4 linked regions of the Lonchura striata genome follow. The protein of the gene in region 4 binds, or shares a complex with, the protein of the main gene of each other region. Links are inferred from orthologs where the notes say so. Each region holds a gene or a part of one and is shown on either strand. Other genes may lie near its edges.

Region 1 (7,208 bases), on a different chromosome or scaffold from region 4:
GGGGCAATTTCTGGCAATTTTGGTGCGATTCTCAGCAGTTTTGGGACAATTTCTGGCAGTTTTGGGGCAGGTTTGGGACAATTTCAGTTTTGGGGCAGTTCCCCTCAGGTTTGGGGTGGGTTTTTGAACGATTCTCTTCAGTTTTGGGGTGGGTTTTGGGACGGGTTTTGGGGTGGGTTTTGGGGCTGTTCCCCTCAGGTTTTGGGGCGGATCCCCTCAGATTTGGGGCGGATTTTGGGGCGGTTTTCCTCAGGTTTTGGGGCGGTTTTTGAACTATTCTCCTCAGTTTTGGGGCGGGTTTTTGGGGCGGTTCCCCTCAGGTTTGGGGCGGATTTGGGGGCGAGTTTTGGGGCAGATTTTGGGGCGGTTTTCCTCAGGTTTTGGGGCGGTTCCCCTCCTGTTTGGGGCGGGTTTTTGAACGATTCTCCTCAGGTTTGGGGCCGGTTTTGGGGCGGGTTTTTGGGGCTGTTCCCCCCAGATTTGGGGTGGATTTTGGGGCGGTTCCCCTCAGGTTTGGGGCGGGTTTTGGGGCGGTTCCCCTCAGGTTTTGGGGCGGTTTTCCTCAGTTTTGGGGCGGGTTTTTGAACGATTCTCCTCAGGTTTGGGGTGGGTTTTGGGGTGGGTTTTGGGGTGGTTCCTCTTAGGTTTTGGGGCGGATTTTGGGACGATTCTCCTCAGGTTTGGGGCGGATTTTGGGGCAGTTTTCCTCAGGTTTGGGGTGGGTTTTTGGGACGGTTTCCCTCACGTTTGGGGCGGGTTTTTGGGACGATTCTCGTCAGTTTTGGGGCGGGTTTAGGGCGGTTCGGGGCGAGGTTTAGGGCGGGATTAGGGTGGGATTAGGGCGGGTTTAAGGCGGGTTTAGGACGGGTTTAGGGCGGGTTCAGGGCGGGTTTAAGGCGGGTTCAGGGCGGGTTTAAGGCGGGTTCAGGGCGGGTTTAAGGCGGATTTAGGGCGGGTTTAAGGCGGATTTAGGGCGGGTTCAGGGCGGGTTTAGGGCGGGTTTAAGGCGGATTTAGGGCGGGTTCAGGGCGGGTTTAAGGCGGGTTTAAGGCGGATTTAGGGCGGGTTCAGGGCGGGTTTAAGGCGGATTTAAGGCGGGTTCAGGGCGGGTTCAGGGCGGGTTTAAGGTGGGTTTAAGGCGGGTTCAGGGCGGGTTTAAGGTGGGTTTAAGGCGGGTCCAGGGCGGGTTTAAGGCGGGTTCAGGGGGCCATGGCGGAGGCGGCGCAGGGCCGGGTGCAGGCCGCGGTGGAGAGCGCGGTGCAGGGGCTGGAGCGGGAGCAGATCCGCGCCATGCAGGTACCGGGACACCGGGGGACACCGGGGGACACCGGGGGACACCGGGGGACACCGGGGGACACGCCGGGAGGGGTCCGCGCCCGCCCGGGGCTGCGGCGGTACCCCCGACCCCAACACACGTGGGTGCCCCGGGCAGCGCCGGGAGCGGCCCCGAGACCCCCCCCAAACCACTGAGATCCCCCCAAATTCAATACACAGGCTGAGACCCCCCCCCAAATCACTGAGATCCCCCCAAATTCAATACACAGGCTGAGACCCCCCCCAAATCACCGAGATCCCCCCAAATTCAATACACAGGCTGAGACCCCCCCAAATCACTGAGATCCCCCCAAATTCATTACACACCCTGAGACCCCCCCAAACCACTGAGATCCCCCCAAATTCAATACACAGGCTGAGACCCCCCCCCAAATTCAATACACACCCTGAGACCCCCCCCAAATCACTGAGATCCCCCCAAATTCAATACACACCCTGAGATCCCCCCCAAATCACTGAGATCCCCCCAAATTCATTACACACCCTGAGACCCCCCCCCCAAATCACTGAGATCCCCCCAAATTCATTACACACCCTGAGACCCCCCCCAAATCACTGAGATCCCCCCAAATTCAATACACAGGCTGAGACTCCCCCCCAAATCACTGAAATCCCCCCAAATTCAATACATACCCTGAGACCCCCCTCCCAAATCACTGAAATCCCCCCAAATTCATTGTGACCTCCTCCCATACACACCCTGAGACCTCCCCAAATCACTGAGACCCCCCCAAATCACTGAAATCCCCCCAAATTCAATACACAGGCTGAGACCCCCCCCAAATCACTGAGATCCCCCCAAATTCATTGTGACCTCCTCCCATACACACCCTGAGACCCCCCATACACACCCTGAGACCTCCCCCAAATCACTGAAATCCCCCCAAATTAATTGTGACCCCCTCCCATACACACCCTGACACCCCTCAAATCACTGAGACCTCCCCCTCAAATTCCCTGACACCCCCGCAATTCACTGAAACCCCCCCAAATTCATTGTGACCTCCCTATACACCTCCTGAGATCCCCCAAATCACTGTGACCCCCCCAAATTCATTGCGACCCCCTCCCATACACACCCTGACACCCCCTAAACCACTGAGACCCCCCCCCAAATTCCATTCTCTGTGCCCCCCAGTTCATTCCCTGTGCCCCCCCCTGCTCAGGGCACACCCGGCTGGTCCCCCCAAGGGGGCTGGGACCCCCAGACTGACCCCACTGACCCCTTGTGACCCCCCCTTCCCTCCATGGCCCTGGGGGTCACCCTTCTCCACCGTGTCCCCAGTGTCCCCCTCACCTGGGAGTGTCCCCGGAGTGTCCCCAGGGTGCCCCCCATTAACCCCCTGACCCTTGGTGCCCCTGGGGTGTACCCCCTTGTCCCGTGTTTCCCCATTAACCCCTCATGCCCCATGTCCCCAGAGTGTCCTCTGTTTTCCCTGTGTCCCCTGTTTCCCCGTTAACCCCTCATGCCCCGTGTCCCCAGGGTGTCCCCTATTAACTCCTCGTGCCCTGTGTCCCCCGTTAACCCCTCATGCCCCGTGTCCCCAGGGTGTCCCCTATTAATTCCTCGTGCCCTGTGTCCCCCGTTAACCCCTCGTGCCCCGTGTCCCCAGGGCGCCATGTTCCGCTGCAGCGCGCGCTGCTGCGAGGACGCAGCGGCCTCCATGCAGGAGGTGCAGCGCTGCATCGAGCGCTGCCACGCGCCCCTGGCCCGCGCCCAGGCCATCGTCACCGCCGAGCTGGAGCAGTTCCAGGTGAGCGCAGGCACCAGGACCCCTGGGACAGCACCGGGACCCCGCCTGGGACCCCTGGGACAGCACTGGGACCCCGCCTGGGACCCCTGGGACAGCACCGGGACCCACCCTGGGACCCCTGGGACAGCACCGGGACCCTCTGGGACAGCACCGGGACCCCTGGGACCTCTGGGACAGCACCAGGACCCTCTGGGACAGCACCGGGACCCCTGGGACCCCTGAGACAGCGCCAGGACCCACCCTGGAACCCCTGGGGACAGCACCAGGACCCCTGGGACAGCATCAGGATCCTGCCTGGGACCCCTGGGACAGCACTGGGACCCCTGGGGACAGCACTGGAACCCCCTGAGACCCCTGGGGACAGCACTGGGACCCTAGGCAGGACATGAACCCCACCCCAGTCCCTCCCCTGATCCCCCCAATGTGCTCCCAGTCCCCCCATTCTCCCCCAGCCCCGCTGACCCTGCTGCCCCCAGGACCGGCTGAGCCGCTGCTCGCTGCAGTGCTCGGACCAGGCCAAGGACGCGCTGGACGCGGGGGGCTCGGAGCCGCGTGTGCGGGGCCAGCTGGATGCCTGCCTGGCCACCTGCGGGGAGCAGCACCTGCGCCTCGTGCCCGCCATGGCCAGGAAGATGCGGGACGGGCTGGCCAGCATCCAGCAGTGACCGCGGGGGCACCCCGGGGACACCCCGGGGACACCCCGGGACACCCCGCGCTCATTAAAGGCCAGGTGGCAGCTCCACCGACCGCGGGCGTGCTGGGGGACTGGGGGTGATGGGGGAACTGGGGGTGATTGGGTGGCATTGGCAGTGATTGAGGCACAGGGTGATGGGGGGAACTGGGGGTGATTGGGGGACTGGGGGGCACTGCGGGTTATGGGGGGACAGGGGGAACTGGGGGTTATGGGGGAAACTGAGGGTAATGGGGGCATGGGAGGTATGGGGGCACTGGGGGAACAGGGTGATGTGGGGGACTGGGGGTGATTTGGGCAGTGGGGAACGGGGGCACTGAGGAACTGGGGGTGAGGGGGTGGATGTTGAGGAGACACTGCAGGAGATGGGGGCACTGGGGGTGATGGGGGAACTGGGGGGCACTGGGAGCAATGGGGGCTGTGAGGGGGTGACGGGCTGGGTGCTGAGGGAACTCTGCAGATAAGGGGGGGCATTGGGGGGTGATGCTCACACACGGGCACACACACACACGTGTGCACATGTGGACACACACACACGACACACGTGTGCGCTCACACACGTGTGCACACACACACACACTCACACACATGCGCACTCACGCCCCCAGCACGCGCCCCGCCGCGCCGCCCGCATGGCGGCCATGCCGCCGTACCTCCCCGTGTAGCCGCGCACTCCCCTCACCGACCCCTGCATCCCCCCGCTGCCTCGCCCCTGCCGCGCCGCTACTCGGGTGAGTGCGGGAGCGCGCCGCGGGCCGCCATTGGCCGGCGCGGGGAGACGCACGGCGCGCTGACGTCAGAGCGCGGCAGGGACGGCCGGGGGCTGCGGGCGCCATGAGCAAAGCGCACCCGCCCGAGCTGAAAAAGTGCGGCCGGGGACGAGCGGGGCGAGGGCAGCCGGGGCCCGGGCGGGGGGAAGTGGGGGCCGCTGCTGCCCGGTACTCCGGTGCAACGGCGGCGGGGGACGCGCGGTCGCTGTGGGGATAATGGCGGGGGGGCTCCTGCCCCGTCGCCACCCGCCGGCGCTCACCCGCTGCCGTCTCCTTGCAGGTTCATGGACAAGAAGCTGTCGTGTGAGTTCTGGAGCGGATCTCGTCCTGGTCCCCCTCACGGTGCCCGGGGGCCCCATCCCGCCCCGATCCCTCTCACGGTTCCTGGGACCCCCGCCCCAGTCCCGCTCAGGGTGTCCCGGGACTCTCCCCCACCCCGATCCCCTCACGGTGCTCAGGCAGGGACCCCAATGCCGATCCCGTCACGGTGCCCGGAGACCCCCGCCCCGATCCCCATCACGGTGCTTAGGGACCCCCGCCCCCATTCCCATCAGGGTGTCCCAGGACCCCCGCCCCAATCCCCTCACGGTGCCCAGGTAGGGACCCCCATCCCAATCCCTCTCACGGTGCCCTGGGACCCCCGATCCCCTTCACGCCCACCGCTGTTGGGGACCCACCCCCCAACAATGCCCCGTTTTGGGGACCCTCCACAGCCCCGTTTCCCTCTCGTGGCCCCGCTGTGGGAGTCTCCTGAGCCCCCCACCCGGTTTTTGGGGACCCCGCCCACCCCTCACAGAGCCCAGATAAGAGGTCCCGGCTGCTGATTTCCGACCTTAGAGCGCATGAATTAAAATTCTAATTCATTCATTAATAATTCATTAATTAACTAGAACACGGGTTGAAAATTCGCTCTGTTCCCCCTGTCCCATTAACGGGTTGTGCTCAGTCGTTCCCATTCCCCCCGCTGGTTTTGGGGGGTGCACGGCCCCGTTGTGGGGTGCCCGCGCTCAGGCCCCGCTCCCCGCAGTGAAGCTGAACGGCGGGCGGCACGTGCAGGGCATCCTGCGCGGCTTCGACCCCTTCATGAACCTCGTCATCGACGAGTGCGTGGAGATGGCGGCGGGCGGGCAGCAGAACAACATCGGCATGGTGGTGAGGCACTGGGAGCACTGGGAGTGAGAGCACTGGGAGCGGGGTGGTGAGAGCACTGGGAGTGGGGTGGTGAGGGTACTGGTAGTACTGGGAGCAGGGCAGTGAGGGCACTGGGAGCATTGGGAGTCAGGTGGTGAGGGTACTGGGAATACTGGAAGCAGGGTGGTGAGGCACTGGGAGTACTGGGACAGGGTGGTGAGGGCACTGAGAGCACTGGGAGCACTGGGAGCAGGGCAGTGAGGGCACTGGGAGCACTGGGAGTCGGGTGGTGAGGGTACTGGGAATACTGGAAGCAGGGTGGTGAGGCACTGGGAGTACTGGGAGTGGGGTGGTGAGGGCACTGGTAGTACTGGGAGCAGGGCAGTGAGGGCACTGGGAGCACTGGGAGTCGGGTGGTGAGGGTACTGGGAATACTGGAAGCAGGGTGGTGAGGCACTGGGAGTACTGGGACAGGGTGGTGAGGTCACTGGGAGTACTGGGAGTGGGGTGGTGAGGGCACTGGGAGTACTGGGAGGAGGGTGGTGTGTGCGACTGGGCGTACTGGGCATAGGGTGGTGAGGGCACAGGGAACACTGGGGGCACTGGGACAGGGTGGTGAGAGCACTGGGAGTACTGGGAGCAGGGTGGTGAGTGCACCTGGAGCACTGGGAGGTCTTTTCCACTCTCAAGGATTCTGGTATCCTGTGATCCTTGAGGATTTCGGGTTAAAATCAGTCTATTTTGGCTTTTGTGAGGAGGAAATTCCAGCCAAATTTTCTGGGATTTTTGGGAAAACAAACTGGAAGGAAGGAACCCTTAGGTAACAGCTCTCACCTTGCCCCTTCCAGGTGATCCGAGGGAACAGCATCATCATGCTGGAAGCTTTGGAACGAGTATAAACCCCTGGAAAACCCCAAGTCCTCACCCACTGCTTCCGTTCCCTCGTCCAAAATGCCGCCCACGAGTGTACAATTATTTTGATTGTGTTATTAAATCAATTTTGTAATGGTTGACCCAAATCAAGCCTTTGTCGCACCAGTTTTTGGCAGCTCAGCGGTAATTCTGTTCCCGATCCTGGTACAACTTTTATTTATGGAAGTGGGTGTTCAATTTATACTATTTCTGGTGGTTTTTTTACTTAAAACACACTTGGGTTATTAAATTCTTTATTAACTTCGTACCTGAACACGGCCGTGGATGTTGGTGGTTCTCCCTCTTTCCCACTTATTTTCCCCCAGTTCCCACCCTGAGGAATAATTCCTTGGCAGAGCCTTGGGAAAAGTTGGGGCAGAGGGATGGACAGCCAGGGAGTCAATATTCCCAGCTGGAGGGCACTTTGGGGGTCAATATGGCACTTTTAATGAATTCCCTACCTCAGACAGGGCTAAATCAAGGAAAACTGAGGAAAACTCATGGATTTGTGTGAGGAAAACGTCCCAGCTTACTTGGGAACTCTTCACTGCTCCTGCTCCCTCTAGAGCTGGCCAAACAGCTTCCAGGTGGCACCAGGGGACATCAGGATGAGAT
Region 2 (7,454 bases), on a different chromosome or scaffold from region 4:
ATTTTTTGGGAAAAAGGGATTTGTTTAGGGGTAGAAAGATTGGTTTGGGGAAAAAAAAAAGATTCTTATTGGGATAAAGGGGTTCATTTTTGGAGAAAAGGAATTGTTTGGGAAAAGGATTTTTTTGGGATTAAGAAATTGGTTTTGGGAATAAAAAAAGGATTTTTTGTGAATAAGGGACTTTTTGTGGGGAAGAAAGGCCTGGTTTAAGGAAAAAGGGATTTGGTTTGGGAAGAAGGAATTGGATATGGGATATCCAATCCATATCCAATTGGATATGGGATTGGTTATGGGATAACGGGATTTTTTTTTAAAAGGGATTTGTTTTGGGAAATGAAGGATTATTTTTGGGAAGAAGGGATTGGTTTGGGGAAGATGGGATTGGTTTTGGGATAAAGGGTTTGGTTTGGGAAAACTCGAACCCCCATTATCCTGAACCCCCCAGATCCAATCCCACAGGGGGAAAACCCTTGGAAAACATTTCTCCCTGAAACCCCGATCCCAGATTTTGTGAAAAAACAACCCCGTTTTATTGCCCAAAGTACAAAATCCGATTCCCCCGGGAGCTCGGGGGGTTCCCAGCGATCCCAATCCCGCTGGGGGGCCGGGAGCAGCCCGATCCTAACTGGAGACGCTCTGCAGGAGGGTGATGTTGTCCCCCTTCAGCATGATCCGACCTGCAACCAACGGCTCGGGATGGGCCTGTGGGGTGGGAGCGCCCCGATCCCGCCCGGCCCCGCAGCTGGAGCCCAATCCCACAGCTGGATCCCATCCCAATCCCACAGTTGGATCCCAATCCCACAGCTGGATCCCAATCCCACAGCTGGATCCCAATCCCACAGCTGGAGCCCATCCCAATCCCACAGCTGGATCCCAATCCCACAGTTGGATCCCAATCCCACAGCTGGATCCCAATCCCACAGCTGGAGCCCATCCCCACAGCTGGATCCCATCCCAATCCCACAGTTGGATCCCAATCCCACAGCTGGATCCCAATCCCACAGCTGGATCCCAATCCCACAGCTGGATCCCATCCCAATCCCACAGCTGGAGCCCGGCCCCACAGCTGGAGCCCATCCCAATCCCACAGCTGGAGCCCAATCCCACAGCTGGAGCCCAATCCCACAGCTGGATCCCATCCCAATCCCACAGCTGGATCCCAATCCCAAAACCTGGATCCCTGTCCCAAAACCAGGATTTAAGGTCACACATCCAGGTTCCAGGACCCACCCCCGGAGTTTTGGGTCCCAGTCCCGATTTGGGGTCCCAGACCCTGATTTGGGGTTCTCTCCCCCTGCCCTACCCAGCTGCTTCCTGGCCTTGGTTTTGGAGTGAATCTCCTCAGCATCGTCCAGCACCAGGTTCATGTACTCGTCAAAGCCCTGCTGAGCAGCACCGGCCTCAGAAACCCCAAAAGACCCCAAAAACCCATACAAAACCCCCCAAAAAAACCCAAAAACCCACACAAAACCACCCCCCCAAAAAGCCCTCAAATCCCCTCAAAAAACACCCAAAAAAAACCCAACCTCCTCATAAAACTAATAACAAACTCTCAAAACCCCAAAAAACCCCCAAACCCCCCCAAAAAACCCCAAAGCAGAATGGGGCACTCACGATGATGCAGCCCTCAATCCTCATGTTCACCTGCTCATAGAGCCACACCTGGATCCGGGACCGCTGCAGAACGGGAACAGGATTTGGGGTCCAAATGGGATTTGGGGTCAGCAGGGCCCCAAAGGGGTTTGGGGTCCAGGGTTTGTCCCCACCCCAAATCTGTCTGCGGTCACCCCTGTGTGGGGTGGGACTGTCTGGCGTGTGAGGGGTTTGGGGGAATGGGGTTAAACGGGGTTTGGGGGTATGAAATGGGATTTTGGGGTAATAAAATGGGATTTTTGGGTGGGGTTTGGGGTTATAAAATGGGGGTTTTGGGGTATAAAACAGGTTTTTTTGGCATTATAAAATGGGGGTTCTGGGGTATAAGATGGGGATTTTTGGGGTTAAATGGGTTTTATGGGGTTAAAATGGGGAGATTTGAGGTCCCTCCCCCCCAGCCCGCTGCCGGCACTCACGTTCTGCAGGTAGCGGAAGATCAGGTTCTGGGGCCGGGGTTAAGGGCACAGCAGAGCCGGGGGCACGGGGGAAACGCTGAGGGGAACCCCTGAAGGGAACCCGCGGTGGAACCCATAGTGGAACCCGCCATTCCCTTCCCTTCTTCCCTTCCCTTCCTTCCTTCCCTCCATTCCCTTCCCTACTTCCCACCCGTCCCCATCCATCCCTTCCCTTCCCTTCCCTTCCCTTCCCTTCCCTTCCCTTCCCTTCCCTTCCCTTCCCTTCCCTTCCCTTCCCTTCCCTTCCCTTCCCTTCCCTTCCCTTCCCTCCCTCCCCGAGCGCTGCGGGCAGGATACGATGGGCTGCACCATCACCTTCTGCACCTTCTGGCCCTGCCCGCGGTACGCCATGGCTGCGCGGGGCCGCGGCGCTGTGAGGGCCAGGGGAGGCGGGCACGGGCGGTAATGGCGGCCGGAAGCGGGGCCGTGAGGGGCGGGGAAAGCGGGCACGGGCGGTAATGGCGGCCGGAAGCGGCGCCGTGAGGGGCGGGGAAGGCGGGCACGGGCGGTAATGGCGGCCCGAGCGGGGCACTGTGGGACACTGGCGCCGTGAGGGGCGGGCAAGGCGGGCACGGCGGTAATGGCGGCCGGGAAGGGGGCACTGTGGGACACTGGCGCCGTGAGGGGCGGGGAAGGCGGGCACGGGCGGTAATGGCGGCCGGGAAGGGGGCACTGTGGGACACTGGCGCCGTGAGGGGCGGGCAAGGCGGGCACGGGCGGTAATGGCGGCCGGGAAGGGGGCACTGTGGGACACTGGCGCCGTGAGGGGCGGGGAAGGCGGGCACGGGCGGTAATGGCGGCCCGAGCGGGGCACTGTGGGACACTGGCGCCGTGAGGGGCGGGCAAGGCGGGCACGGCGGTAATGGCGGCCGGAAGCGGCGCCGTGAGGGGCGGAGCGCGCAGGGCATTGTGGGATACTGGCGGCGTGAGGCCCTCAGGAGATTTTTACTTTATTTGTTTTTTTTCCCTATCATTATTTTTAGGATTTTTTCTCTCTTTGTAGGATTTTTTTGTGGGTTCTTTTTTTTTCTCTCAGTAGGGTATATTTTTTTTTTTGAGTGTGTTTTTTTAAATTTTTTTTTCTCTTAGTAGTTTTTTTTCGGGGTTTTTTTGCTCTTAGTAGGATTTTTTTCTCTTAATAGGTTTTTGCTTTTTTTCTCGTAGTAGAGTTTTTCTGGGTTTTTTCCTCTTAGGTTTTTTGGGGTTTCTTTTTGTTTATTTTTTGCTCTTAGTAGGGTCCTTTTTTTTTTCTCTTAGCAGGTTTTTTTAATTTTTTTTACGTTTTTTTTCTCTTAGTAGGTTGTTTTTGTGGGTTTTTTTGCTCTTAGTACGATTTTTTTGTTCTTTTTTTAGTAATTTTTGCTCTTAGTAGTTTTTCTTTCTCTTTGTAGATTTTTGGTTTCTTTTAGTAAAGTTTTTTTTTTGTTTTTTTTTTGTTTGTTTTTTTTTCCTCTTAGTAGGTTTTTTGGGGTTTCTTTTTTATTTTTTGCTCTTAGTAGGGTCTTTTATTTTTCTCTTAGTAAGATGGGGTTTTTTTGTTTATTTTTTTTGCTCTTACTAGGTTTTTTTCGGGTTTTTTTTGTGGGTTTTTTTGCTCTTTGTAGGATTTTTTTTTATTCTTTTTTTGGTTATTTTTGCTCTTAGTTTTTTTTTCCTCTTAGTAGGTTTTTTTCTCTTAGTATGTGGGGGGAGTTTTTTGGGTTTTTTTTTAAGGAATGAGATACTCGCTTCGAGGAACACCAAAATCTTCCAAAAAAAAGGAATTTATGGGTTTCTTATCAGAAAAAGCGAATTTCTTGTTTAATTAATCAAAAAATTAATCAAAAAAATCTGCTTTTTATTGTCTTCTAATTGTCCTAACTCTACACTTTATTACTCTAATTGTGTTATTAGTTTTATAACCGATTTATTATTAAAATTTAAAAATTTAAAAACTAAGTGTTGGGCATTTTTCACACTATTATTTAATTTGGTTTGAATAACCACAATTCATCTATAAATAAAACATTTGTTAGCAATGTTCCCCTGGCTTAGAGCTACAGCAGAGCTGCGCCCTTAAATACACAAAATTTTAAAATAAAGTAATTTTTGTGCTCTTACAGTGCTCGAGTTTTCCTGTTCATTTATCCCACAAAGTCACAAAAAAAAAGCAAAAAAAATTCCCTGAAATCTCTCCCATGTTCCTGTGGAAGATCCCAAATTCCCCTTGAGCCTCCTTTTCTCCAGGCTGAGCCCCTTTCATTAATTTTCCAATAAATTTCATTAATTTTTCATTAATTTTTCCATTAATTTCCAATAAATTTCATTATTTTTCCAATAAATTCCATTAATTTTTCCATTAATTTCATTAATTTCCAATAAATTTCATCAGTTTTCCATCAATTTAATCAATTTTACATCAATTTCATTATTTTCCAATAAATTTCATTATTTTCATTAATTTCCAATTAATGTCATTGTTTTCCAATTAATGTCATTAATTTTCCATTAATTTCATTAATTTTCAATTAATTTCATTAATTTCCCAATAAATTTCATTAATTTCAAATAAATTTCATTAATTTCCCAATACATTCCATTAATTTCCTAATAAATTCCATTAATTTTCCAATACATTTCATTAATTTCCCAATAAATTCCATTAATTTACCAATAAATTTCTTTTTTTTCATTAATTTTTCTTTAATTTCATTTTTCATTAATTTCATTAATTTCCAATATATTTCATTAATTTTCCAATAAATTCCATTTATTTTCCAATAAATTTCATTAAATTTCCAATAAATTACATTATTTTTTAATTAATTTCATTATTCTTCATTAATTTCATTATTTTTTCATTAATTTCTAATTAATTTCTAATTAATTCCAGCATTCCCACCAAACTTGTTGGATACCATTCCTTAAATCAAAGCACAAAACTCTGCAAGGACACCACAGTTGAGCAGCCTACCTTTAATCCCTTAAATAGAATCATACAAATATAAAATGGAAGAATAAAATATTTACAGGACCAAAAAAAAAAAAAACCAACTAAAATCAAAATAAACAAAAATGAAAAATAAAAATAAATCCACGGGGATTCCTCTCAATCCCATCTCCAAAATAGGTTGGAAAAGAGGGAAGCAGCCAAGGGGGGAATATTCCAGGTGGTTTTTTTGGGTTTTTTTTTGTTTTTTTTCCCCTCCCACAACGATCCCAGCTGGATGTGGGAGGTTCATTACAGGGAAAAATCCTCAAAATCCAGAGGCACTTGAAGCAATGCTCCTTTTCCCAAATTCCAGGAGGAATTTTGATTTTTCCACCATCCCAAAATTCCAAGAAAAATCCCCCTTGGATCGTTCGGAGCCAGGCTCACCCTGGCAGGGTTTGGTCCAAAATTCCTCCCGGTGTTTTTCCACCCCCGAATTCCCCCCAATTCCGAGTCCACCGTGGATTCCAGAGTTGACACAGTAACTCCAGGGATTTTTTTGGGGTTTTTCTGTCCAGGAGGGAGCTCTGCCATGGGATCTGTGTTGTCCCTCCAGGGAATTCCAAGTGCTCCGTCCCACGTGGGACAAACCCAACCAGGAATTTTGGGATAACTGAGAGCAGACTCTGCCTATTCCCACCAATCCAGCTGGGAAAGCATCTCCTGCACGGATCCAACAGCATTTCCAGCATTTCTTCGGGGTGCCAGGAGGAAATTTTGCTTTTTTAGGGGATTTTTTTTTTTTTGGCGTCGCATCTTTTTCCCCCCCCCCCTTTTTTTTTTTTTCCAATAAAAATCCTTCACTTTCAGCTGTCGATCATCTCGGAGAGTTCCAGCAGGAGATCATCCTCATCCTTGCCTGGATCCAGGTCGATTTCTGCCTCCAGTTTTCCCCCGGAGATTTCCCAGATGAGTTTCTCGAAGTCGTCCTCCACCGAGAGCGCGGCTTTGGCGCCGCCGGCTGAGCTCAGGCGCCGCAGCTTCAGCGGCGCCTCCAGGGATGAGGAGCAGGAGGAGGATCCCGACACCTCTGCCTGGGCCAGGGAATGCCCCTGGCTGCCAGGCTGGGGGCTGGCAGAGCAGGGAGAAGGGAGAAGTCAGCGCAGGAGGGACCCGAGGTGGAGTTTGGGGTTTTACAAAGGGGGTTAGGGAGGGTGGGAGGGGCTGGGATTGGGTTTGGGGGAGCTGGGATTGGGTTTGGGGGAGCTGGGATTGGGTTTGGGGGAGCTGGGATTGGGTTTTTGGGAACTGGGAATGGGTTTGGGGGGGCTGGGATTGGGTTTGGGGCAGCTGGGATTGGGTTTGGGGGAGCTGGGATTGGGTTTGGGGGAGCTGGGATTGGGTTTGGGGGAGCTGGGATTGGGTTTGGGGCAGCTGGGATTGGGTTTGGGGCAGCTGGGATTGGGTTTGGGGGAGCTGGGATTGGGTTTGGGGGAACTGGGATTGGGTTTGGGGCAGCTGGGATTGGGTTTGGGGCAGCTGGGATTGGGTTTGGGGGAGCTGGGATTGGGTTTGGGGGAACTGGGATTGGGTTTTTGGGAACTGGGAATGGGTTTGGGGGGGCTGGGATTGGGTTTGGGGGAGCTGGGATTGGGTTTGGGGGAGCTGGGATTGGGTTTGGGGGAGCTGGGATTGGGTTTGGGGGGGCTAGATCAGATTTGGAGAGTTCAGGATCAGATTGGGGAGTCCTGGATTGGGTTTGGGGGATGGGATTGGGTTTGGGGGGCTAGCAGAGCAGGGAAAAGGAAGTAAGTGCAGGAGGGACCCGAGGTGAAGTTTGGGGTTCTACATGGGGGGTTAGGGGAGGGTGGCAGGGGCTGGGATTGGGTTTGGGGCAGCTGGGATTGAGTTTGGGGGGACTGGGACTGGGTTTGCGGGAGCTAGATCAGATTTGGGGAGTCCAGGATCAGGTTTGGGGAGTCCTGGATCAGGTTTGGGGAGTCCTGGATCAGGTTTGGGGAGTCCTGATTGGGTCTGGGGGGGTCTAGATCAGATTTGGTGAGTTCAGGATCAATTTTGTAAATCCAGGATCAATTCTGGGGAGTCCAGGATTGGTTTTGGGGGATGGGATTAATTTTGGCAGTCCAGGATTGGTTTTGGACATTCCTGGATCAATTCTGGGCATTCCTGGATCAATTTTGGGGATTCCTGATCAATTCTGGGCATTCCTAGCTCAGTTTTGAGGATTCTGGATCAATTTTGGGGATTTTTGGATCGATTTTGGGGAGTGCCCCAGTGCAGCACCTGCAGGAACCCAGAGCTGCAGCTTTAATTGCAATTAACAGCTCCTCTGCAGGATTTTGGGATCATTCCCACCCTGCCCACCCCAGAAGGAATTTGGGGTCGGGGTTACCTGATCTGGGAATTCTCCCTCC
Region 3 (5,908 bases), on a different chromosome or scaffold from region 4:
TGAAGCAGTAGTGAGTAACCATTATATTCGTATTCCATATTAACAGAGCCCAACCCAATACTAGTATCTTTATTTGATGTAAGGTAGGAAAAACTTGAATGCTAGGTTACTAGAAAGCATAAAGGGAAAAAATAGCTAATGTGTATCAGAAAGAATCAAGGTTTGAAAAATTCAGAGGTACAGGAAAAAGGAAAATGAGGCAAGAAAATTGTTTAAAGAAAAGCCATTTTGGAATTTTTAAGTACTAGAGGAACTGGCTTATGCTACACCAAAAACCACTCCATATAATACTGCTACCAAGACATCAAACCCTTTGAGTACCAACAAAGTTCCCCTCTCTCCCCCCAAAACTGAGTTTTGTAAGGAAGCATCGATCCGCCCGGTGGGAGAAATGCTGTCTAGGAGTATCCGATGCTTTCACCTCGGATGGTTGCGCTGAAATGCCCAATACCGAGCACCAGCGCTCCCGCGGGAACAAAAAGCTCGTACAAGGAAACTACCAAACCAAACATTAGGAATGCCCACGAAGCTTTATTATATTCCACTTGAAAAAAGGCGAGCAGTCAAGAGTCCCGAGGCAGGCATTTTGCGAGGCTTCTTCCCGGTCAGTCCTTCGGGAACCACAACGGGAGAGGGCCGGGACCAGGAGGACGGAGGGTCAGGACTCGTCGGGCTTGTCGGCGGGCGGCCCGCAGGGCTGCAGCATCTTCTCCATCAGGTTGAAGCGGACGCGCGCCTTGCTCTCGTTCTCGGCGATGGCGAAGTAGTTGAGCAGGTCGAAGTGGCCCATGTAGGAGCAGTACGAGTCGCGGTGCTGGTTCACCAGCCACTCCCACTTGGTGGTGTCGGCGTGCCCCGTGCCGATGTACTTGGACTGCAGGTGCTCCAGCTGGCTGTGGATGGTGTAGCGGTCCGTCATGGCGCGGCGGGCGGGCGGCCGGAGCGCGGGACGGCGGAGCGCGGGACGGCGGGCGGCGGGATGGCGGAGCGCGGGACGGCGGAGCGCGGGACGGCGGGCGGCGGGACGGCGGGCGGCGGGATGGCGGGCGGCGGGGACCGGCCTGGGCGGCGGGGCCGGGTCTGGGCGGCACGAACGGGCCTGTACAGCGGGATTGCTCTGGGGGCCGGGACGCTTTCCGGCGGGCGCGGCAGCGCTTCCCGCCGCGGTTCCTGCCGCAGTGCCCGAAGGGAGCGCGCCGGGAAGAGCCTGCCGGGAGCTGTAGTCTCCTGGGGGGCGGGCCTCGGCGTAAGTTAATATTGATGTCGTAGTGAAAATAGCGTACTGTCGGTCGGATCGCGCCACTTGGCTAATCCATAGTAAGGCAAATGTAGTTAGAAGGCTGAGCCGCCATCTGTAACGCAGGGTTATTCTAAAGCACGTACGTGAGGGTTCAGGCGCCTCAGACTGAGGCAGATGCTCAGCTGAGCCTCGATGCAAAGCCTGGAGCCTCCCGTCAGTTTGCAAAGCAAAGATACGGCTTTGATAGTGATCCATTCACCTGGAATCCAAGGGACCTGCACTGTCAAATCTGGCTACGAAATACCCACGTCGTGGAACACGGGAACAGCATCGAAAAGTCTCTCCTGGCAGCAGGTGTCAGAAACAGGAAAGCAGAGCCCGGGGCTCACGCTTCGGGGCACAGCTTCATCCCATCCCGACGCTGCCTCTGTATGAACCGCGGCTCAGGGCTGCTTCCCAAAGAAGCGACATGGAGAAAGAAAAAGCTACCACCAAACAACCCAGGAGGTGCCAAGAGCAGCCCAACACCCCTTTTCGTTAGCCCTTAGCTTGGTGAGAGGGCAATGCACCACTTGCTATGGTCACTCTCACCCAAGTCCACATAGAGAAGGGCTGAGGAGGGCACAGTATTTGCAGGTCCTCCCAAAATAAGAAGTTTGGTGAGGTTACTTCTGCTACATACAGCTGAGGAAAGTTCTGTATGTCCCATCCCTGTTCCTTTGTAAGTTGAAGAGCTGAGTTTATCTTCCCCAGATGGGCTGAGCAGAGTCAGGTGATTTAAGTCAAAATTAAATACTAATGTTGAAAAATATTTTTTACAGTGTGGCTAGTATTTTATCTGAATGTTAAACTCACAAGCAGATATAAAACCCACAGAAAATATAACTTGTGTTGCCTATCTTCTTTTGGTCAAACTCAAGCTTGAAATAAATATTATCATCCATCAAAATAGTTTTTTCCACCTCTGTTCGAGAGTTTACATAATGTTAAGTTTAAAATGTGTGAAATTATTCATGCTTTCATATGCTAGTAATGTTTTTAATTATTTGTTTTAAAATAGGAAAGACACATTGCCAAAAATTTTTCAATAGGACTGAGCTATTTCTTCCTGTTCTTGTAAATGCCCTGTAGTCAAAAAGAAATCCACAGAAATATTATGTGAAAACACAGATGATTCTATGCCCCTTGTTTAAAAGTGAGTGTCTTATAAAACCAGGGCCATATAAGGCAATGTAAAAACAACGTTCTGAAGTGTCCTTACAATTCTGTGCAAAGAGCTAAGTGAGGACTATAATTTTTTTTTTTTTGTTATTTTTATGAGGATCTGTTGAGTCATTGCTACCAAGGCTTACTTAGCTGGAAGCAGATTGCACAGCTGGATATAGCAGTTGCATTCTGTGGTTGCTTTCAGAGAGACCAGGAGAGGAAAAAGAAACAAACACAACACTTTAGGAGTTTCTATGTATGCTGGCTTGCAGAAAGACAAAAAAGGACATATTCTCAACAAGGAAGAGCTTTCATTTCTTTTTTAAATGATGTTTTTTTAAAAAGTGGGATAGCAAGAAGAATGCTAGCTTTTAATAGATGTTCCATGCCAACACAGTGACACACGGGGCTGCCCTCACAGCTGTTTGGAAGTTATCCTCTTGGAAACTATAAACCAGGAGATGTATTGATTAAAATAGCCTTTGGAGAAGAAAAATTCCCAGAAGCTTATCTATCTCTTGTCGATGTTGCAGTTTCTAGGAGTAATAACTGCATTAAATTAAACAGGTGTAATAGTTCTCATGAAAGAAAAACAAAAACAAATGAAAACCAAAACCAAAATAAACCACAACAAATCCCCAGCCAACCAAAGCAATGAAACAACAACAATAAAAACCCAACCAACCAAAAACAAAAAAAAAAAAAAAAAAAAAACACAAAAAAAAAAAAAAACAAAAAAAACCACCAAACTTGACTGAGAAGTGTGAATCTGAAATTTTCAGCAAGTTTGTTACTGGGCCAGATTAAAATGCTGCATTCAGGCATCCAGAACTCTGGGAAAGCACACCAAAACTTCACTCTATATTGGCTTTGGTCAAGAACTTCTGAGACTGCCAGACGAGCTTACCAATTTAAGGAAGAAAAAACAGGTAGTAAAATTTCCAGCTGACAGGCAAACCACAATTATCTACAAGTAACTACTTAACTTCAATTTTAATCTAAAAAGAAAAAGTTCCATCTGCTATCTTTCAAGAATTATATTCAATTATATTCTCTTTCTCTTCATTTCTTATTCTTTATAAAAATAAAATCTATTGTAGGGCCTTCTTTTTCTTGTTTGGTCCATTTTGTACAAAATGAATGCCTATGCTAGGGCACTTTCATTTCAAGTTTAGGAATATAAATGAGTGGGGGAAAGGAGATGCATATATATAGGGAGAGGATTATTCCTCAGTGGTAATACGCTTGTATGACTAGGATTCCTGAAAAAGCAGCATTTTCAGATATGTTGAGGGTTTTGTACTGAATACCATTAAATATCATTATCAGAATATACAATAATGGATGCTTACTTATGGAAATCACATAAATGTGCTGATTTTAGTGCTGAAATTATCTGTTTGGAGAGTAACACCGTATCCCTTCAAGCCAGGTTTCAATAGATTGAGACCCTGGGAGGCTGTAAGAGCTGGAACAGTAGAGGCCACTGGGTGTCAGAGTTGGACTTGTCAAAATTCTTCTTCCATAAAACGGAGTGATTGGTTGCACCTCCGAAATGTAGAGTAAAAAGGGTAGAGGGGGCTGCTGGACCAAGAAAGACATTGTCAGTGGCTGCCCAGTACAAGATACAACCAAATTTTTGAATTCCCTACGGACTCTTTGGGTGGAAGTGTGGAGACATAAATACCCTGCAAACAAGGGGATGTGACGATCCTAATAGATAAAACCAATACACATCCAGAAAGATGATAAAATGGGGAGGTATGCCTTTTTTTTTCTCCCAGAAATTCCTCTATTCTTCACTATATTGATTTATCCTACAAATACAGTGATGAAAAAAAAATTGAGATTGCATTAGCCTAGAAAGAATGGTGCTGGAATTTCAATAATGATAAGAACCCATTGTGTATGTGGCATGTGATTTTTTAAAAGTATATATTTCATTAAAAATATTTGCTTCTGCTAAAACAGGGTTCTTAGATCATTATTTGCAGAGGCCACTTAGCAGTTTTAGGCTGGAAAAGCTATGTTTTTCTAATTGCATATTTGGGGTTTTTTTTTCAGATTTCTGATTCTATCACATGAACTGTGATATAGTTTCTCAAATGTTATTATAGCCTATGAACATTATCAGCCTCAGAAAGCCCTTATTTTGGCCCTTTAAGAGGTGGAAGACAATTTTGCTGCTTTTCTCAAAGATCCTGTGAAAAACATTTTTCACAATCAAGCCTCTTCTTCCACCTTGTTTGATGTAAACTCCCCTGATTTCTTTCTTTTCCTTGTAGTCAGAATCATGATTTTGCTGCCATCTCATAGCAGCCTTTGGGCTGCTTCTGGGACAGAGGAAACACAGTCCTTGCAAGCATGGTTAAGTTTCAAACTTTCTTTCACTTTAAAACTATGTTTTGCTTTGTTCTTGCTTTCATTTATAGAGTATAAATATTCCAAAATCTCAAAGCTGTTTTAGGGTTGTATGGCTGATTCTCTGCCAAAGCTATAGATTGGAAGAATGTGGAGTAAAAAAAATCAGGAAAGAAGAAATACTGTGTGTCCTACCACTAAGGGATACACTTTATGCTGCTCTGTATTAATGTAAAGATAATCACATTATCTTGAATCAGACTGAATCTGGAGAAATTCACTCCTGAAGAATTGTCATACTGAGGAGATCTATGACCTGCACTAACAGTGTCTTACCTAGGAGCAGCTTAAGGATCACAGAGACTGGGCCTTGGAGCTTCACACTCCATCAGTTCCTTCTGAGTACCACTGTGATGCTCTACACCTCCTGTATGGGGCTGAATAACAGCTGTGTGCCTTAGGTGCACAGGACAATTGAATTAGCTTAATTTAGGTGCCACTGAGAACTTCCTAGCCAGGCACAGGAGCACCCTAAAAGCAGAAAGGCAGTAGGGATCACTAGCACAGTGCTTACAGATGAGACACTGAAATAATGTGGTGATCTGATGAATGTGGTGTGGAGGGAGATGGAGCACAGCAGAGGCCTGGTAGAGGCAGCTCTCACTTTCTGCTTAGGGGAAGTTCTTTATTCCAAAGCTATAACATAGAAAATAAAAGCCTGTCCAGTGATGTGATTAGTTACCTATTCAGGCTAAAAACAGCGCCAGTAATAGTCTGCCAGGTGAATTTAAATTCTGTCCATATATGTTTTTGTAATGCGAAAGGTTTGTCATGCATTTGGAAATCGAAGTAATAAGAATAAACACAACAAAACTGGGGAAGAAATACTACAGAACTCTCCAAGAAGCAATTGTATTCTGCCCATTTTCTTTGCATTTCTTTTCTTCATTCACTCCAGATAAAGTGCTACAGCTAATACAGTTCTTAATTGTGTTCAATAAGGTATAGAAAAGTAGCAGTGATGAAAGGTACATCTTTAAGTAGGCCAATGTTTTGAATATTAGAAATGTACACAAATTTAAATTAAAAGAAATTAATTTG
Region 4 (7,702 bases):
AACTGGGATTTTGGGTAAAAAATGAGGAAGTTTTGGGTGAAAAATTGGGAAATTCTGGGTGAGGGAGGAAAAAATGGGAATTTGGGGTGAAAAAGGGGGAAATTTGAGGTAAAAAATGGGGAAATTTGAGGTAAAAATGGGGAAATTTAGGGGGAAAATGGGGAAATTTGAGGTAAAAATGGGGAAATTTAGGGGGAAAATGGGGAAATTCTGAGGTGGGGGAGGGAAAAAATGGGAATTTGGGTAAAAAGTGGGAAATTTGAGGCAGGGGAGGTAAAAATGGGATTTTGGGTAGAAAATAGGGAAATTTTGAGGTGAGTGACTTAAACTGGGGATTTTGGGTAAAAAATGAGGAAGTTTTGGGTGAAAAATTGGGAAATTTTGGGTGAGGGAGGAAAAAATGGGAATTTGGGGTGAAAAATGGGGAATTTAAGGGGAAAATGGGGAAATCTAGGGGAGAAATGGAAATGGAATTTGGGGTGAAAAAGGGGGAAAATTTGGGGTGAAAATGGGGAAATTTTGAGGCAAGGGAGGAAAAATGGGAATTTGGGTAAAAAGTGGGAAATTTTGAGGCAAGGGAGGTAAAAATGGGATTTTGGGTAAAAAATATGAAATTTTGAGGCAAGGGAGGTAAAAATGGGAATTTGGGTAAAAAATGAGGAAGTTTTGGGTGAAAAATTGGGAAGTTTTGGGGTGAGGGAGGAAAAAATGGGAATTTGGGGAAAATAAAACAAATTTTGGGCAAAGGGGGAGCTCGGGATGGGGAAATGGGGTTTGGGGGAAAAGTGGAGATTTGGGAGAAAAAAGGGATTAAAAACAATTAAAAATGAGTCGTGAGGGGAAAGCGAAAGTTTAAAAAGGGAAGTGTGAGGGGAAAAAGAAAAGTTTTGGTGAAAAAGGTTTGGGTGAAAAAGGGGAGGTTTTGGTTAAAAAGAAAGTCTTGGGGGAAATTGGGATTTTTTGAGGGGGAAAAAGGCGGAAAATGGGATTTTAGAGGGGGAAAAAATGGGATTTTGGGTGAAAAAAGGGGAAATTTGGGGTGAGGGAAGGAAAATGGGATATTGGATAAAAAAGGGGAAAAATTTGGGGTGAAGGAGGAAAAAATGGGATTTTGGGTGAAAAATGGGGAAAATTTGAGGTGAGGGAGGAAAAATTGGGATTTTTTAGGTAAAAATGGGGAAATTCAGGGTGAAAAATAGGGGAAATTTTGGGTTTGGGGTATAAAAAATGGGATTTTGGGCAAAAAGGGAAAAAAATTGAGGTGAGGGAAGAAAAAATGGAATTTTGGGGGTGAAAAGAGATTTTTTAAGGTCATGAGGGGAAAAAACGGGATTTGGGGTTAAAAATAAGATTTTAGGGGTTCGTGAGGGGAAGGTTGGATTTCGGGGAGTTTTGAGGGGGAAAAGGGAATTTTTGAGGGGAAAATGTTGATTTTTGGGGGATTTTTGAAGGGAAAATGGTGGTTTTTGGGAGGTTTGTGAGGGGAAAAGCGGAATTTGGGGGAAAAAAATGGGATTTTGAGGGGAAAATTGGGATTTTGGGGTAAAAAATGAGGGTTTGAGGAGGGAAAAGCGGATTCGAGCGGAAAGAAGGCGATTTTGGATGAAAAAAAGGATTTTTTGGTAAGTGTGGGGAAATTTGGGGTAAAATAGAGGGGAAAATGGGAATTTTGGGGTATTTCTGCAGGAAAATGGGAATATGAGAAAAAAATGAATTTTTGGTGGAAAATGGATTTTTTTTTTTTGAGGTGTGGGGTTTTGGGGAGTTTTTGAGGATAAAACTGATTTTTTTAGGAGTTTCAGGGTTTGTGAGGGGAAAAATTGGAGTTTTTTGGGGGAAAGTGTTTTTAGTGGGAAAAAACCGATTTTTAAAAAGTTTTTGAGGGGAAAAATGAAGTTTGAGGGAGTTTAGGGTTTTTAGGAGAGCTGAGGAGTAAAAGTTGAAATTTTTTGGGGTTTTAAAGTAAAAATTGGAGTTTGGAGGATTCTGAGGGGACAAATTGTCGTTTTGGGGGAAAAACAGAATTTTGGGGTGTTGGGAGGGGAAAAATGGAGATTTTTAAAGTTTGTGAAGTAAAATTTAATCAGAATTCATTTTATGAGGTGAAACTTTAAAATTTAATTTAAATTTATGAGGTAAAAAAGCGATTTTGAGGAAGAAAAGTGAGATTTCGGGGGAAATTGGGGAATTTTGAGGAGAAGAATGAAGATTTTGGAGTTGTGAGGGAGGAAAAGGATTTGGGGGAAAGACAAAGGTAAAAAAGTGGATTTTTGTGGAGATTTGAGGGGAAAAAAGTAATGTTTAGGGGAATTGTGAGGGAAAAAGTGAATTTTGAGAAAATTCTGAGGCGAAAATTAAGTTTTTTCGGGGTGTTTTGTAAAAAAGTAATTTTATTGGAATTTTGAGGGGAAAAGTGAATTTTGGCGGAGAGTTGTGAGGAGAAAATGGATTTTTTTTGGTGTTTTGTTAAAAAAAAGAGGAATTTTAGGGGAATTCTGAGGAGTTTGGGGAGTGGAAGTGGTCGTAAGTAGGAAAAATTTAATTTTTGTGGGGGGAAAAAACGTTTTTGTGGAAATTGTGAGGGGAAATTTGGGGTTTGGGGCAGTTCTGAGGGGATTTTGGGGAGAAAAAACCATTTTTTAGGGAAGTTGTGAGGGAGAAAAGTGGGATTTTGAGAGAAAAATGGAGTTTTTTTAAAAGTGTGAGGGGGGGAAAAATGAAATTTGAAGGAGCCTTGAGAGGAAAGGGTCAAAAATTCTCATTTTAGGGAAAAAGTTATTTATTTTAGGGCGCTGTGAGGAGAAAAAAGGATTTTGAGTGAAAAAAAAGTTGTTTTGGGAAGGAAAAGTGGATTTTGAGCGGAAAAAAAAAGTGATTTTGGGGGGAAATGGATTATTGGAGTTGGAAAAAAAGTGATTTTGGGAAGGAAAATGAGATTTTAGGGAATTTCCAGAGAAGTTTAGGGAGTTTGTGAAGGAAAATGGGGATTTTGGGTTTAAAATGGGAATTCATGTAGGAAAACAGAATTTTGGGGAGAAAAATAGGATTTTGGGTTTAAAAGTGAGAATTCATGCGGGAAAATGGCAATTTCGGGGAGAAAAGTGGGGATATTGGGTTAAAAATGGGAATTCATGTAGGGAAATGGGAATTTTGGGAGAAAAATTGGATTTTGGATTAAAAGTGGGAATCTTGTAGGAAAATGGGGATTTTGGGAAGAAAAATGGGAATTTTGGGTTAAAAAGTGAGAATTCCTGTAGGAAAATGGGAATTTTGAGGAGAAGATGGGGACTTTTGGGTTAAAAAGTGGGAATTCCTGTAGTAAAATGGGGATTTTGGGGAGAAAAGTGGGGATTTTGGGTTATAAAAGGGTTTTTTTAGGGTGGGAGGGAAGTTTTGGGGTCAGTGAGGGGGGATTTGGGGCAGGGGGAATTTGGGGAATTTGGGGGATTTGGGACTGTAGGAATGGGGGATTTGGGGAATTTGGGGATGCAGGAATGGGGGATTTGGGGCTGTAGGATTTGGGGATTTTGGGGATGTAGGATTTGGGGGATTCAGGGGATTTTGGGGATGTAGGATTTGGGGGATTTTGGAGATTTGGGGTTTTAGGAACTTGGGGATTTTGGGGGTTTGGGACAAAGGGATTTTGGGAATTTGGGTCTATAGGAACGGGGATTTTGGGGATTTGGGTCTATAGGAACGGGGGGATTTTGGGGGTTTGGGGCACAGGGATTTTGGGGATTTGGGGCACAGGGATTTTTGGGATTTGGGTCTATAGGAACTTGGGGATTTTGGGGGTTTGGGACACAGGGATTTTTGGGATTTGGGTCTATAGGAACTTGGGGATTTTGGGATTTGGGACACAGGGATTTTGGGGATTTGGGTCTATAGGAACTGGGGGATTTTGGGGATTTGAGGCACAGGGATTTGGGGGATTTGGGGCACAGGGATTTTGGGGATTTGGGGCACAGGGATTTTTGGGATTTGGGTCTATAGGAACGGGGGGATTTGGGGCACAGGGATTTTGGGGATTTGGGGCACAGGGATTTTTGGGATTTGGGTCTATAGGAACGGGGGGATTTGGGGCACAGGGATTTTGGGGATTTGAGGCACAGGGATTTTGGGGATTTGGGTCTATAGGAACTTGGGGATTTTGGGCACAGGGATTTTGGGGATTTTGGACACAGGGATTTTGGGGATTTGGGTCTATAGGAACTGGGGGATTTTGGGGATTTGAGGCACAGGGATTTGGGGATTTGGGGCACAGGGATTTTGGGGATTTGGGGCACAGGGATTTGGGGGATTTGGGTCTGTAGGAACTTGGGGATTTGGGGGATTTGGGTCTATAAGAACGGGGGGATTTTGGGGATTTTGGACACAGGGATTTTGGGGATTTGGGGCACAGGGATTTTGGGGATTTTGAACACAGGGATTTTGGGGATTTTGAACACAGGAATTTTGGGGATTTTGAACACAGGGTTTGGGGGATCTGGGGGATGTGGGGGGCCCTGACTCCCGCGTTCCCAGCGCTGGGATGTACAATGGGATCGGGCTGTAGGAACGGGGGGATTTTGGGGATTTGGGGCACAGGGATTTTGGGGATTTTGGACACAGGGATTTTGGGGATTTTGGACACAGGGATTTGGGGGATCTGGGGGATGTGGGGGGCCCTGACTCCCGCGTTCCCAGCGCTGGGATGTACAATGGGATCGGGCTGCCGACGCCGCGGGGCAGCGGCACCAACGGCTACGTCCAGCGCAACCTCTCGGCCCTGCGGCCCAAGAAAGGGGGGGCGGGCGGGGACCCCCCCCCCGGCGAGGAGGAGCTGAGGCGCCTGGAGGCCGCCCTGGCCAAGAAACCCAACGCCGACATCCTCGACCACCAGCGCAAGCGGAGGGTGGAGCTGAAATGCCTGGAGCTGGCCGAGCTGATGGAGGAGCAGGGGTGAGCGCCGCGCGCCCCAAAAACACGCCCTGAAATTTCCCAAAATCCCCCGAAATTTCCCCAAAATCCCCCCAGACCCCCTCGGGACCCCTCCCCAAATTCGGGGGTCCCCCCTGGCACCCCAAAATCCCTTTTAATACCCCCAAACCCCCCCAAAATCCCCCTAAAATCTCCTTTAAACCCCCCAAATTCCCCCCGAAATTTCCCAAAATTTCCCGAAATTTCCCCAAAATCCCCCCAGACCCCCTCGGGACCCCTCCCCAAATTTGGGTCCCCCCCTGACACCCCAAATCCCCCCTAAATTCCCCCAAAATCCCTTTTAATCCCCCAAACCCCCCAAAATCCCCCTAAAATCTCCTTTAAACCCCCCAAAATCCCCCGAAAATTTCCCAAAATCCTCCAAAATTTCCCCAAAATCCCCCCAGACCCCCTCGGGACCCCTCCCCAAATTCGGGGGTCCCCCCTGGCACCCCAAAATCCCTTTTAATACCCCCAAACACCCCAAAATCCCCTAAAATCTCCTTTAAACCCCCCAAAATCCCCCTGAAATTTCCCAAAATCCCCCGAAATTTCCCCAAATCCCCCGAAATTTCCCCAAATCCCCCCAGACCCCCTCGGGACCCCTCCCCAAATTCGGGGTCCCCCCCTGACACCCCAAATCCCCCTTTAAACCCCTCAAAATCCCTTTTAATACCCCCAAACCCCCCCAAAATCTCCTTTAAATGCCCCAAAATCCCCCCAAAATTTCCCAAAATCCCCCAAAATTTCCCCAGACCCCCTCGGGACCCCTCCCCAAATTCGGGGGTCCCCCCTGGCACCCCAAAATCCCTTTTAATACCCCCAAACCCCCCCAAAATCCCCTAAAATCTCCTTTAAACCCCCCAAAATCCCCCCAAAATTTCCCGAAATCCCCCAAAATTTCCCTAAACCCCCCAAAATTTCCCCAAATCCCCCCAGACCCCCTCGGGACCCCTCCCCAAATTCGGGGTCCCCCCCGGACACCCCAAATCCCCCTTTAAACCCCTCAAAATCCCTTTTAATGCCCCCAAACCCCCCTAAAATCTCCTTTAAACCCCCCAAAATTTCCCGAAATCCCCCAAAATTTCCCAAAATCCTCCAAAATTTCCCCAAATCCCCCCAGACCCCCTCGGGACCCCTCCCCAAATTTGGGTCCCCCCCTGACACCCCAAATCCCCCCTAAATTCCCCCAAAATCCCTTTTAATCCCCCAAACCCCCCAAAATCCCCCTAAAATCTCCTTTAAACCCCCAAAATCCCCCAAAAATTTCCCAAAATCCTCCAAAATTTCCCCAAAATCCCCCCAGACCCCCTCGGGACCCCTCCCCAAATTCGGGGTCCCCCCTGGCACCCCAAATCCTCCTTTAAACCCCAAAATCCCTTTTAATACCCCAAAATCCCCCTAAAATCTCCTTTAAACCCCCCAAAATCCCCCCAAAATTTCCCGAAATCCCCCAAAATTTCCCAAAATCCTCCAAAATTTCCCCAAATCCCCCCAGACCCTCTCAGGACCCCTCCCCAAATTCGGGGTCCCCCCTGACACCCCAAATCCCCCCTAAATTCCCCCAAAATCCCTTTTAATACCCCAGAATCCCCCTAGAATCTCCTTTAACCCCCGAAATTTCCCAAAATCCCCCGAAATTTCCCCAAAATCCCCCCAGACCCCCTCAGGACCCCTCCCCAAATTCGGGGGTCCCCCTGGCACCCCAAAATCCCTTTTAATACCCCCAAACCCCCCCAAAATCCCCCTAAAATCTCCTTTAAACCCCCAAAATTTCCCAAAATCCCCCCAAAATTTCCCAAAATCCTCCGAAATTTCCCCAAATCCCCCCAGACCCCCTCAGGACCCCTCCCCAAATTCGGGGGTCCCCCCTGACACCCCAAAATCCCTTTTAATACCCCCAAACCCCCCCAAAATCCCCCTAAAATCTCCTTTAAACCCCCCAAAATCCCCCCAAAATTTCCCAAAATCCTCTAAAATTTCCCCAAAATCCCCCCAGACCCCCTCGGGACCCCTCCCCAAATTCGGGGGTCCCCCCTGGCACCCCAAATCCCCCCTAAATTCCCCCAAAATCCCTTTTAATCCCCCAAACCCCCCAAAATCCCCCTAAAATCTCCTTTAAACCCCCCAAAATCCCCCCAAAATTTCCCGAAATCCCCCGAAATTTCCCCAGACCCCCTCGGGACCCCTCCCCAAATTCGGGGGTCCCCCCTGGCACCCCAAATCTCCCTTTAAACCCCCCAAAATCCCTTTCAATACCCCCAACCCCCCCTAAAATCTCCTTTAAACCCCCCAAAATCCCCCTGAAATTTCCCGAAATCCCCCCAAAATTTCCCGAAATCCCCCGAAATTTCCCCAAATCCCCCCAGACCCCCTCGGGACCCCTCCCCAAATTCGGGTCCCCCTTTTCCCCGTTGCAGCTACTCGGCCGAGGAGATCGAGGCCAAGGTGGCCACGTTCCGCACGATGCTGCTGGAGAAGGACGAGGGGCCCGGCGACCCCGAGCAGAAACCCACGTGAGCCCCCTCATTTGCATAATTAGCATAATTAGCTGCATGGCGCCTCGTTAACCGCCGTCCCCGAGGGGGTTTTGGGGGAAAAAAATGGAATTTTGGGGGGAAAAAAGGAGTTTTTTGGGGTGGTTTGAGTGGGAATTGGGGATTTTGGGGTCGTTAGTGGCAAGATAAGTTTGTTAATTAGGTTCATTAGCATAATTAGCGTAATTATATCTCATTAATCAGCT

Evidence for each region.
Region 1: uncharacterized protein LOC110483994 (region 4) and SNRPG share a complex: the UniProt entries of both Homo sapiens proteins name them as parts of the minor spliceosome. The link is inferred for Lonchura striata from reciprocal best matches to the Homo sapiens genes SRRM2 and SNRPG.
Region 2: uncharacterized protein LOC110483994 (region 4) and SNRPE share a complex: the UniProt entries of both Homo sapiens proteins name them as parts of the minor spliceosome. The link is inferred for Lonchura striata from reciprocal best matches to the Homo sapiens genes SRRM2 and SNRPE.
Region 3: uncharacterized protein LOC110483994 (region 4) and SF3B5 share a complex: the UniProt entries of both Homo sapiens proteins name them as parts of the minor spliceosome. The link is inferred for Lonchura striata from reciprocal best matches to the Homo sapiens genes SRRM2 and SF3B5.

Annotation. Positions count from the first base shown.
Region 1 is NC_134634.1:399,415-406,622, reverse strand, and holds SNRPG (small nuclear ribonucleoprotein G), read left to right. Parts: upstream 1-4,576; 5' UTR 4,577-4,614; coding exon 4,615-4,646; intron 4,647-4,830; coding exon 4,831-4,853; intron 4,854-5,577; coding exon 5,578-5,702; intron 5,703-6,529; coding exon 6,530-6,580; 3' UTR 6,581-6,700; downstream 6,701-7,208. Other genes in the region: protein FAM136A, read left to right, coding at 1,210-1,296, 2,949-3,089, 3,566-3,754. UniProt on the Homo sapiens protein: Plays a role in pre-mRNA splicing as a core component of the spliceosomal U1, U2, U4 and U5 small nuclear ribonucleoproteins (snRNPs), the building blocks of the spliceosome.
Region 2 is NC_134632.1:2,737,538-2,744,991, forward strand, and holds SNRPE (small nuclear ribonucleoprotein E), read right to left. Parts: upstream 2,531-7,454; 5' UTR 2,460-2,530; coding exon 2,406-2,459; intron 2,097-2,405; coding exon 2,070-2,096; intron 1,678-2,069; coding exon 1,615-1,677; intron 1,383-1,614; coding exon 1,304-1,382; intron 678-1,303; coding exon 622-677; 3' UTR 507-621; downstream 1-506. Other genes in the region: ZC3H11A (zinc finger CCCH domain-containing protein 11A), read right to left, coding at 5,886-6,150, 7,433-7,454. UniProt on the Homo sapiens protein: Plays a role in pre-mRNA splicing as a core component of the spliceosomal U1, U2, U4 and U5 small nuclear ribonucleoproteins (snRNPs), the building blocks of the spliceosome.
Region 3 is NC_134605.1:50,067,390-50,073,297, reverse strand, and holds SF3B5 (splicing factor 3B subunit 5), read right to left. Parts: upstream 998-5,908; 5' UTR 920-997; coding exon 659-919; 3' UTR 512-658; downstream 1-511. UniProt on the Homo sapiens protein: Component of the 17S U2 SnRNP complex of the spliceosome, a large ribonucleoprotein complex that removes introns from transcribed pre-mRNAs.
Region 4 is NC_134637.1:300,139-307,840, forward strand, and holds the start of uncharacterized protein LOC110483994, read left to right. Parts: upstream 1-4,689; 5' UTR 4,690-4,693; coding exon 4,694-4,941; intron 4,942-7,379; coding exon 7,380-7,475; intron 7,476-7,702. UniProt on the Homo sapiens protein: Required for pre-mRNA splicing as component of the spliceosome. As a component of the minor spliceosome, involved in the splicing of U12-type introns in pre-mRNAs.